3 linked regions of the Tribolium castaneum genome follow. The protein of the gene in region 3 purifies or fractionates together with the protein of the main gene of each other region. This does not show direct contact. Links are inferred from orthologs where the notes say so. Each region holds a gene or a part of one and is shown on either strand. Other genes may lie near its edges.

Region 1 (3,758 bases), on a different chromosome or scaffold from region 3:
TAAACATAGATTATTTTCATAATTTCACATTTTTTTACTTTAATAACCGTTCACAAAATTTCTAGATTATTCACACCTTTTATGTGAAATAATTTTTCCATGGCCAACTGCTTTCAAATATTTTAAATATATTTTTTATCAAAAATATATAAAAATATCAAACTGTATTTATATTATTTTCAGTTTAAAAAAAAATAAGCTTTTCGAAAATGTCATAGCCAACTATGATTTCTATTTAAAGAAATACAACTTTATGTTATTACAGCTAAACGATTTATTAAAAAAATTCACTGATACCATAATTAAATTCTCTATAAAAAAAAGCCATATAACGTCTTTGTTTCAAATGTCTATATTTTATAATAAGGAAGATATAAATTTTTTAACATTTGGCCAAAATATCAACTTTTGTTTATAAGTCGAAAACAAAAAACTATAGCGAGATGCGGTTTTGACCAAAATTATTTTCTCAAAAAGCGGACCGGAAAATGTGTCTTGTTTTTCTCTAAACCTTTTAGTTTCGGAAATCCCCTATTTGTGCATAAATTTTTTATCTGTATTTTTAAGTGGCCTAAATTGTTATTTTTGCTCTACTTCTGTATAAACACACTCAGTTAACACCAAAGTAGCCGTAAAGCGTCTTCTAATCAGTGATTAAAATTTAAACTGGCATTAGTTCGTAAATCTGAGCATCTGATTGGTCCAATTCCCCTGATCTGGAAACGACGCTTCTAAAAACAGTCCCTTATTGTCAATCGAATGCTGTCCATTAGGACGCATAATTTAATTATTGTGGCATGCAGTGTGTGAAAGATAAGCAGGATTAAATAATTATTTATTCAATTTGGCGCCATTGTGACGTGGGCCGGAGGCAGCCGATGTGCGTCCGATCGCGTTCGGGTTTAGTGTGGCGGGCGCGGCCATATTGGCAGTACGTTGAGTGTCTGTGTTTTTTAGTGTTGTGAAATTTCTATCGATAATCATCGCAAAATGTCTGAACGGGAGGATAACGTCTACAAGGCGAAATTGGCAGAACAGGCCGAACGTTACGATGGTGCGTATATTTCCCCCCGATTCGGCCTCCTCCCGGCCCAAACGGCCATCATCTCGGGACGCTCCTCCATTTTCCGCCGCGGGGGTGCCCCGCGCCCGGGCGGCGGCGGGGCTGCGCCCCCGTGTGCATTCCGCGCGGGTGACTCATCGATCGGCGCCCGGCCCCGCAGCCCCCGCCGGAAAAAAGCCAAATGTCAGAATTTTCGCGACACCGGCCCACTGCCTATTGCGTAACTTCCGGTTTTGCACGTGCGTCACGTGATGGGGGTGGCGGATTCTGCCCCCGACCTTGTCCCATTTGCGGCGGAATTTTACGCTGCATTTTTAAAACGGGATTGATTTTTGAGGGCGGCCTGCACAGGGGTCGGGGGTGGCAGCGCGACGGCGGCGGCGAATGCCAATCGATAATCGCAGAGAAGAATGAGGATTTACCGAAATTACCAACAAAAGATGCACGTCGGGGGCGGGTAACTTGACTGCGAAATTTAGGGGGTTTGGGGGGTAAACATTTTATTGAATTATTTGTTCGCTCACGAAACGGCGAGACGTAAAAACGGGAGAGTTCTTGCCTAAATTTTTCATCGCGTCAATTTTTAATACAAACGGTGAATTTTTTACGTTTTACGTTACACAGTTGGCATTTAAAAATCACTAATAAGTACAGTCAGAAGGAGTGAAATTGTCGATACAATGGCCTACTTGTTTTAAAATTTAAATGCAACTAAAGTTATTCAATTTTTAATTTTACAAAATAGAAAGTAAACAAAGTCGATGGTGTTATCACAAACAAACACAAACTGTTGACAGTTTCGTATGTCGTCAAGTCCTTGAACTTAAATTATTGCAACGACGAAATTAGTTTTTTTACTTTGTCAACAGTTAACAAAAAATGCGTCAAAAATGTCACCGGCTTTTACATTCAACATTTGTGAAATATTAATTAAGCCGGAAATGTACCAACATTGCGTTTGGCTGGTGATTCATCCACCTCACCATTTTTGTCGAAGTTGATAGATATCGAAAAAATGTGACAAGTTGCCATGTTTGGACAATTTTATTGCATTTGATTGTACATTGTTTTATAACAGGTTGGATTAGTTTGGACAGTTTTATAGATGTAATTTAATTCCCGGTAATTCACCGAGAAACGATAATTCATTTTTATCAACTGATCGATTCTCTTATCAATAAGGGAAGACTGAGTTGAATGTCCTGTTTAAATTTCAAGTTTGTGTTATGCTCGATGAGTAATCAAATAACGTGATGTAAATGATGAGAAAGTACAAAACGCATTTTAATGAACAAATGTGTTACGAAAGCGAAAAATTCTATTGAAAATTGAAACACCGATTAATAAACGCCTTTGCTCACTGGAAACCAGCCTTCGTTTTTTGAGAAAATAATTTTAAATCTCAACAGAAGTTGACATTTTAGCGAAATCTTAAAAAAATCATATCTTCCTTATTATAAAAGATACACATTTGAAAAAAATACATTATACAGGCACTTTTTTTCAGAGAATCTAATAATGTTATCAGCGATTTTTTTCAACCATTCGTTTAACTGTAATAACATAAAGTTATATTTTTTTTAAATAGGAATCATAGTTGGCAATGACATTTTCGAAAAGCTTATTTTTTTCTGATTTAATGTCTATTTGTGTCATACGTTAAATTTAAATAATTAAGAAAAAACAAAACATTTCGCTTTTTCTTTATAGTTGGCCATGAAAAAATTTTGGATTTGTAATTAAAACTATGAAAATTGTATTACCTAACAGTAATTATAATTTGATGATTTTTTAAACCCTAATTAATTCAAAAACAGCATAATAAATTTTTATTAGATCAAATTTTTGCAATTAATAAAAATTATTTGTTTTTATATAAAATGGCAAGCTTACGTTGTATTTCTACATATTTTCAAATTTTAAACATGCAATGACGGAAGAAGAAAAATCTTATGATTGCGCATCAATAAAATTTTATTTTACAAAAAAATGACAATTCAAACTCCAAAATCAAATTCCACCTGCAGTAAAAAAATATACAACATTATCAATGTCACCTCCATTGCACTTTACTAAATCATAAAAAAGTGACATCAAATGGTAGTGACATATCGTTTGCTATTTTCTGTACATTTTTTATGTAATTAAAATCTGCGACGCTCGTATATTTATTCAATTGAAAATAACTTTAACATAGCTTATTTTGATAATTTCACATTTTTTACTTTAAAAACCGTTCACAAACTTTCTAGATTATTCACACCTTTTATGTGAAATAATTTTTCCATGGCCAACTACTTTAAAAAATTTAAATTTTTTTTATCAAAAATATATAAAAATATCTCACTATATTTATGTTGTTTTGAGTTCAGAAAACAATAAGACAAATAGACATATCAAATCAGAAAAAAATAAGCTTTTCAAAAATGTCATAGTCAACTATGATTCTCATTTAAAAAAAATACAACTTTATGTTATTACAGCTAAACGAATGATTAAAAAAAATTGCTGATAACATTATTAAATTCTTTGGCAAAAAGTGCCTGTATAATGTCTTTGTTTTAAATGTGTATCTTTTATAATAAGGAAGATGTTTTTTTTTTAAGATTTCACTAAAATGTCAACTTTTGTTTATAAGTCGAAAACAAAAGACGATAGCGAAATGCGGTTTTGACCAAAATGATTCTCTCAAAAA
Region 2 (3,277 bases), on a different chromosome or scaffold from region 3:
AAATTACAAGGCGCCCATCCATCAATTTAAAATTTTCTACGTAATGATACTTTTTAGTAAGTACCTAAAAAATACTATTATAACAATGAACAGGGAGTCACGGGACCTCACTTCTTTTACTGCATCGTCTATGGCATTTTTCACAGCTGAACCGTCCCATTTATTTATTTTAACAGGCTGCAACAATAGGTTATGAAGCCAAATTTACAATTTTTTCCGTATTTAAATAACAAGCGTGCAAATTACGTGTTCATTCATTTAAACTGTACCTTATCATCCTTTTCTTTGCTTTCTTTTGGGGCCATAATCTTAACTGACTGGTTAAATTTTCAATTTTTTATGTGGTGTTGTCGTGTCTTGTTGTTGCGACACGTCAAGTGATGCGTCAGAACACGAAATATGGGAAACGCGAAAATACACCAACATCGGTGAACAAAAGTAACTACGCTTTTTCAAAAGAACGGGTTTTACCAAATATTTTTTTTAAATAACGTTGATTGTTATATCTGCCACTGAAACTGTAAATTCGTTTGGCTATTATTTTTTTCAAGTGGATGATTAATTTAAGTCAGTGAGAGAAAATGCGGGAATTGGGATGGGTATAAGAAAGTTTACGTCAAGTTTATAAAGTAAAGAAATTTATTAATCTTCAAGCATTCCTAATAAATTAATACAATAAATTTGCATTCTTAGGAAATAAAGGCTAAATAACAAAAATTGTAAAGCAAGTGACTTTAGGGTTTTGACTGCTCATCAGAAGGCCCAGCTTCTTCTTCTTCCTTCTTTTTGGCATCAGGTATCCAAAGACCCGCAGCAACACACCTCTTCATGTGATAGTTGGCCTCTTCTTCATCCATTTCCTTGATTGTGTCTTGCAACATTTGGATGTCTTGCGTCTCGAAACATTTTCGTAAATTCTCGGGAAGACTTTCCAAGACTTCAAGCTGATCTAACCCTCCTGGCCCTATCCTCGCTTTCCTCTCCTCCTCCTCTGCTTCTTTTATGGCCTCTTCAATCTTCTCAGCTGCGCGTCGTCTGATCCTCTCCTTAAACTGGTCTAATTCATCGTCAAACGATTTTTTGTAAAGAGGATCAGCTATTTGGATTTTGGAGAAAAAGGGGTCCACGCAGCCGCGAGGGTCGTAGTCTAATTGTTTGGCTAGTTCTAGGATGTACTGCATGCAGATGGTCTGGTGCGCCACGTGCTCCATAAGGTCATGTTTCTAATTAAAAGAACAATACATAATTTACCCCAACAACTCAGTGTTGCCAATATACATTTTTTGCCACAATCTTACCTCTTCCATTTCTAAATTGATGCACCAGATGACGAGGTAATTAGCTGTGTCTTCGCAAACCAATTCAAGGTGGTCCCTGAGAAAAGCCCGAGAGTCTTCATAACGTCGCAACATTCCAAAGTGCTTCAAATTCTTCTCGTTTTCTTTTACAAAATTTTTCATGCGACTTTCCTTCTCTTCATCCGTTAATTGTTCGTCCTTCGGTCTCGGAGCTTTCTTATTAATAACAGTCTTTGCAAAACCTGGCTGACTAATTGTGTCCACATTCCACGGGGCCATCTGTAAATCACTAAATAAACATTAGAAGAACTAACATTCGTACAAACTTTTTCTTTCTTCTCGTGTTCTTCCTGTTTCTTCTTAATCGCTTCCATTTCCTTCTCCAGCGCGGCCAGAGCGTCCTTAAGTTCCCTCAAATTCGCATCTCCGGCCTTCTCGGCTTCCGCCAGCTTCTGCTTGGCTTGCGAGACCTTCTTAGCATTTTCCTCCCTCTTTATCTGGATTTCTTCCGCTTCTTTCTTCATTTCTTCCATGCGCTCAACTCTGGCCTGGTGCCTCCACCGGAAAAGTGAAGGGGTGTCAATATTTGGATGCGTCTCATCCTCATCGTCGGAAATCTGCAAAGCACCACCTAACCTCATTTTTTCCTCCCAGACTTCACTACCTCAATATTCTTCCACTTGCTGTAATCGACCATGACGCCAATGCGAATTTTGATTCCTCCAAGAAAATACAACAATAAAACACTTGCACTTTTGAAATAAACAACAAACGTCACTTTGCTGCTCCTCCGCCCTCTGGCTGGCTTTCGCGAAACGTCGGCAGAGGATCATGGGTAGGGAGACGAGGGCAAATAAAATTCCAGAATATTCTTTCAATCATAATCTAATACTTTAACTTTAAAAACATTGACACGATTAATCTTAAAAATTACTGATATGAAATAAAACATGACAGCATAGTTGGCAATGAAAAAGTACGGTTCGGTTTGTAACAATTGTAACCATGACTACCACCAAAATGCCATATCAAAGTTTCATGGCCAACCGCTCCCTGAAATTTTCGATTAATTACTAATAAATTAGCACATTGATTCGGTCAACTCCAATTTTAACTTGATATTGTCGTTCGATTTAGTAATAAATGGAGAACGTTTTGTGGAACGGCAACTTCTTCTCCACGATTTCCTTGTTATGTTCGCGTCTGAAGTCCCACAAGAAGTGATCGATCAAAATGGCATTGATTTTCGTATCAGTTAGTTTTTTATTGGCATGTTCTTTTAGCAGCTCGACCGCATGGATGGAGCAAGCTCTGATCTCCACTTCGTCCTCTTCCCCGTTTTCGAGAATTTTGTTGTCTTGCAGTTTCTTCTTCAAATCTTCGCTGTACTCAAACACCCCGAAATATAGGAGAGATTGTGGGATTCTATAATCCGCAAACATTGTTATTTCATCGATATCTTTAAAGTGCCCAAGTCCTTCGTTCTTGAAACAGGCCCAAATGTCGCCAATTAAAATCTGCGCCCGCTTGTAAATCGCAATTTTCTTGTCTTTGTAAGTCGCTTCGTCCTTGAAGCACTTGAAATTGTTGACGATTAGGTCCAGAAGGGCCACAGCGCTCTTGTCAGCCTTTTTCACGCAATTTTCAAACGAACCGTCGAAAGTTTCAAGAAGGACGTTCCCAACTTCGTGCAAGCATTTGACGCGTTCCTGGAGGAGTGGAATTGGGACATCGTTGTCGCTTCTGAATATTTTCGCAAGGTCTTTTTCGGACACTTCAGAGTAGTATTTCGAGTTCAAAATATCCACTTTTTCCTTCACGGCTCGATTAATAGCCGCACAAAGGGCAAAATAACCAGTGTAGCCCTCCACAGTCCAGCCAGCTTCGGTTTCTAAGTGCCAGAAGCAAAAATTCAGAGTGTCCACGACAAATAACCAGTCAAGGGCTTTGGGATCGTCGGATTTTGGGTGCAGTTTCAC
Region 3 (3,658 bases):
TAAAAAAATGTATACATTATAGCAAAAAACTGAAAGCAGATACAGATTCAGTACGTTTGAATCTTTGTGTTTAGAATAATTTTATTTAAAGGAGGATTTATTATTGCAGACCAGAGGAATTAAATAAACAACAACAGCAAGTGACAGAATGAATATTTACTCATTTGAAAAAGTTTAAAATTTGTGCTTATCATAGAAATATTAAATTTTCTTCAAATTGAACCAAAACAATGAGGAAAATTTAGAATAAAGCGATGACATTAAGTCGAACACGTTAAACATACAGTCATAGGATTTAGATTTATTTTTACCAGACGAAATAAAAAAATCTTGAAATTAGTTTAGTTTGAATTTTTGAATTGAATTTGCATTTGAATTTATTTGCAAAGTTCTAATTGAGAGATTAAAATTATGTTCGGTTTGTTACGTACAATATTTTTTAAATGAAACAAACACCAGAGTAGCATTTTATCAAAGTTGATTTAAGATGATCCTCTCATTTTATTAAATGAAATTAAAAATACATTATTACTAAACATTTTCAAAGTTTTTGTTATTTTATTACAGAATTCACTTTACTTTAAAAAGAGAAGGAAATTTTTGGTGTTCAAAAATTGGAAAATTCTATTTTCAACTTTTTTTTCTCTGGCTGAAATGAGTCGCTAACTCGCTCGGAATTAGTCGATTGTTTTTATTTCGACCTACTTGGTGACCTTTAGCTTCAACATAATCTCGCAGTGATTTCTGACTTAAAATCAATCTAAATTCAAACGAATTTTTTCTTTGATGGTGGAAACACTTAGGGACATCTGAAGGTATTTTTAAAAATTCGTAGAATCTATGCGAATTGTGTTCGGCTCTCAAGATCTTTTTAAAAAAAAAATAATTGTTTTTTTTTAACAAAGAACGATCGTTAGGGCATTTGGTGTGAGATATATTGGAAAGTGTCCGCCTGAAATTTGGTGGTTTAGAGATGTTTGAAATGTGTGGAATCGCCCCGAAGTTGTTATATGTGCACGATTTGTAGGAATGAAATTCCCGACAACGCCGCCGGCCCGCCGCAAGCACCTGACCGGAATTCAAAATCCAGTATTGTTGTCTGAATCGTTCCCCTTAACCAAAAGCAAATCGCATGAGTCACAATTGGCAAAGGGCGATAACGGTGAACTACCCAGCGGTGAAAAGGGTTCTGGGAAGCGGTCAAGGTTACCGACTGAGCCAGGACCTGACACTGATTACACAAGTCCGATCCTGACCAGTCCCATCAAGTCACCCCCATATAATAACACCGGAACCGATAGTGACGACAATAGTTACAAATGTGAGTGTCAACAATTGCCACGTTGCGGTACGGTTTCTAATTTAATATTGACGACGTTTTGTAGCAGCGCCGAGTCTCCAAGTGCCCAAATCACCGAGGACACCGACGCCGGTGGGGCGCAGCATGGCACATCAGATTAATCATAGGTTTACGAAAACGTTTAAGATGATTGCGACGTGTGGATATTGCCAGAAACCGATCTATTTCGGAGCGGGATTAAAGTGTAAAGAGTGCAAGTATACTTGCCATAGGGAGTGCGAGGATAGGGTCACACCCTCTTGCGGATTGCCACCGGAATTACTCGACGAATTTAAGAAGAAATTGTCGTGTGAAGTACAGGTTTTTCCCTCGCCTAATCCGAGCAGGGCTAGCAATACGAAAAATATTATCAATTCGCTCAGGATGAGGAAGAGGTCGCATCCGCAGCCTTCGATCAACATTGCGCCGTTTCCGGTACGTTTTTTCTTATTTATGGTACAGTATTTGGTATTTTTATGCGGTTTTCAACTGTCTGGGAGCAATTTATTTATAAGATAGAAAAAAATTGCTTCAGGTGATCAGTGGAGAGGCGAAGGGCTGAAGCATAATGAAAATAAAAATAAAATAAATAAAAGATGGAAGCTTAATGCTGTTTTGTTTTGTTTAATTAATAATTATTTTTCTGGCTTGACAACATGCTAAAAAGCTTAAAAAATGCTATTTGTGACCTATTTTAGTTTTTATTGTTTTAAGTATTCGAAAAAGGCAAAGATTATATTATTTTTAATTCATTTAAAATATTTTTGCAATTTTTTTGAAAACAAAATCGCTCGTTAAAAGCAAAACTTACAATACTTTCCAAGTTTTTTTACATCACATTAACGAAACTAAATATTATTGATAATAATAATCATTAAAATTATATTTCAAATGTTAGATTGTTATATCATATGTGTAAATAATATGATTTTTTGAAACCTTCTGTGCTCAAAAACCTGTTCTAGCGTTTGAAAAAGACAAAAGTAATACTATTTTCCATTCAACTGGGGTGATTTTTGATGAATTTTTTGATTATAAACGTTCTAAATCGCAAAAATAGTAAAATGATATTATTTTATGTTCAATTTATTGATTTTTCAGTTCGGTTTAGCAAAATTTCGCAAAAACTGCGTGTTTGTATCAGTAAAAATTATAGATAATAATCATTAAATTAAATTTTAAATGATAGATTTTTATATCAAGAAATCTAAAAAATGCTTAAATAATATCATTTTCGTCCATTTTTTTGATTTTATTAATTTCGTTTTTGGACAAAACCTGTTCTAGCGTCCGAAAAAGGCAAAAATGATAAAATTTTCGACCCAATTCGGATGATTTTTGAAGGGTAATTTTTGATTAAAAACGCTCTATTATAGTAAAATATTATTTTTGATCGAATTTATTGATTTTTCAGACCGGTTTAGCAAAAAAAAAACTGCGTTGTTTTTTTCAACACTCGTAAAATGCACAAATTGGCGTCATTTTTTGCTTAACTTTGAAAGTTTTCGATTAATTTGTTATAAAATTTGACCGAACAATTGCGTTTCTAACTGAAAATATGCAGAAGCACCCAAAAAAGCGAAATAATGTACGTTTCAATCTAATTTAGTGATTTTTGACTGATTTTTTAGATTACTTGCGAAATAATTGGGATTCTCATTCTTTAATTGAGTTATTAAATTATGCTTTAATGATATTCATTAGGAAATAGACAAAATTATCTCACTTGAATATAGACAATAATAATAAATAGTAATAATAATAAAAGTTAATTTAGTGCTAGAAAGATCTTATTCACACGTCAACAGAATACATGAAATACATAATTAGTATGTAATAATAATAATCAGAGAAATCTAATCACTTGTTAAGGAAAGCCCTTGACAACTGAAAATATTCATCTTTACTGCACAAAGGTTTCGTTAGAAGAATTTTTTAACAACTTTTTCTAATGTAATTGTATTCAAAAATAAAAATAAAATGCACTAACCTGGCATCTTTTGCTACAGTTTGTAGCAAGTTCATCGCATTATCTTCTTAAGAGAACCTATTGAAATAAAAAACAATGAAATTAGAACATTGTGCTTTAAGTTAGTTAAAAATATTACAGATTTAAAGTGAAAGAAAGGAAAGTATTGTAAACTGACTAACCCTTTAATTCGGATTGTTTCCACTTTTTCTCGTAAAAACCTGATTTCAATTATGAGGCGTGCGCTCGCGTCAAGAACAACTAACAAACTGAATAAAATTAAACGGCAGAACAATAATTGTGGAAGAAAATGAATAAAAAGTCACCATCAAAAAATATAATCTGTCAGA

The links.
Region 1: the proteins of ksr (region 3) and 14-3-3epsilon purify together in Homo sapiens (affinity purification with mass spectrometry; 3 studies listed by BioGRID and IntAct, with this or other methods). This does not show direct contact. The link is inferred for Tribolium castaneum from reciprocal best matches to the Homo sapiens genes KSR2 and YWHAE.
Region 2: the proteins of ksr (region 3) and Cdc37 purify together in Homo sapiens (affinity purification with mass spectrometry; 3 studies listed by BioGRID and IntAct, with this or other methods). This does not show direct contact. The link is inferred for Tribolium castaneum from reciprocal best matches to the Homo sapiens genes KSR2 and CDC37.

Annotation. Positions count from the first base shown.
Region 1 is NC_087401.1:11,229,139-11,232,896, reverse strand, and holds the start of 14-3-3epsilon (14-3-3 protein epsilon), read left to right. Parts: upstream 1-887; 5' UTR 888-990; coding exon 991-1,054; intron 1,055-3,758. UniProt on the Homo sapiens protein: Adapter protein implicated in the regulation of a large spectrum of both general and specialized signaling pathways. Binds to a large number of partners, usually by recognition of a phosphoserine or phosphothreonine motif.
Region 2 is NC_087398.1:2,273,058-2,276,334, reverse strand, and holds Cdc37 (hsp90 co-chaperone Cdc37), read right to left. Parts: upstream 2,123-3,277; 5' UTR 1,996-2,122; coding exon 1,963-1,995; intron 1,916-1,962; coding exon 1,625-1,915; intron 1,578-1,624; coding exon 1,299-1,577; intron 1,224-1,298; coding exon 735-1,223; 3' UTR 622-734; downstream 1-621. Other genes in the region: Spase25 (signal peptidase complex subunit 2), read right to left, coding at 1-64, 112-177, 270-305; queuosine 5'-phosphate N-glycosylase/hydrolase, read right to left, coding at 2,432-3,277. UniProt on the Homo sapiens protein: Co-chaperone that binds to numerous kinases and promotes their interaction with the Hsp90 complex, resulting in stabilization and promotion of their activity. Inhibits HSP90AA1 ATPase activity.
Region 3 is NC_087399.1:8,297,636-8,301,293, forward strand, and holds part of ksr (kinase suppressor of Ras 2), read left to right. Parts: intron 1-1,027; coding exon 1,028-1,321; intron 1,322-1,385; coding exon 1,386-1,774; intron 1,775-3,658. UniProt on the Homo sapiens protein: Location-regulated scaffold connecting MEK to RAF. Has very low protein kinase activity and can phosphorylate MAP2K1 at several Ser and Thr residues with very low efficiency (in vitro).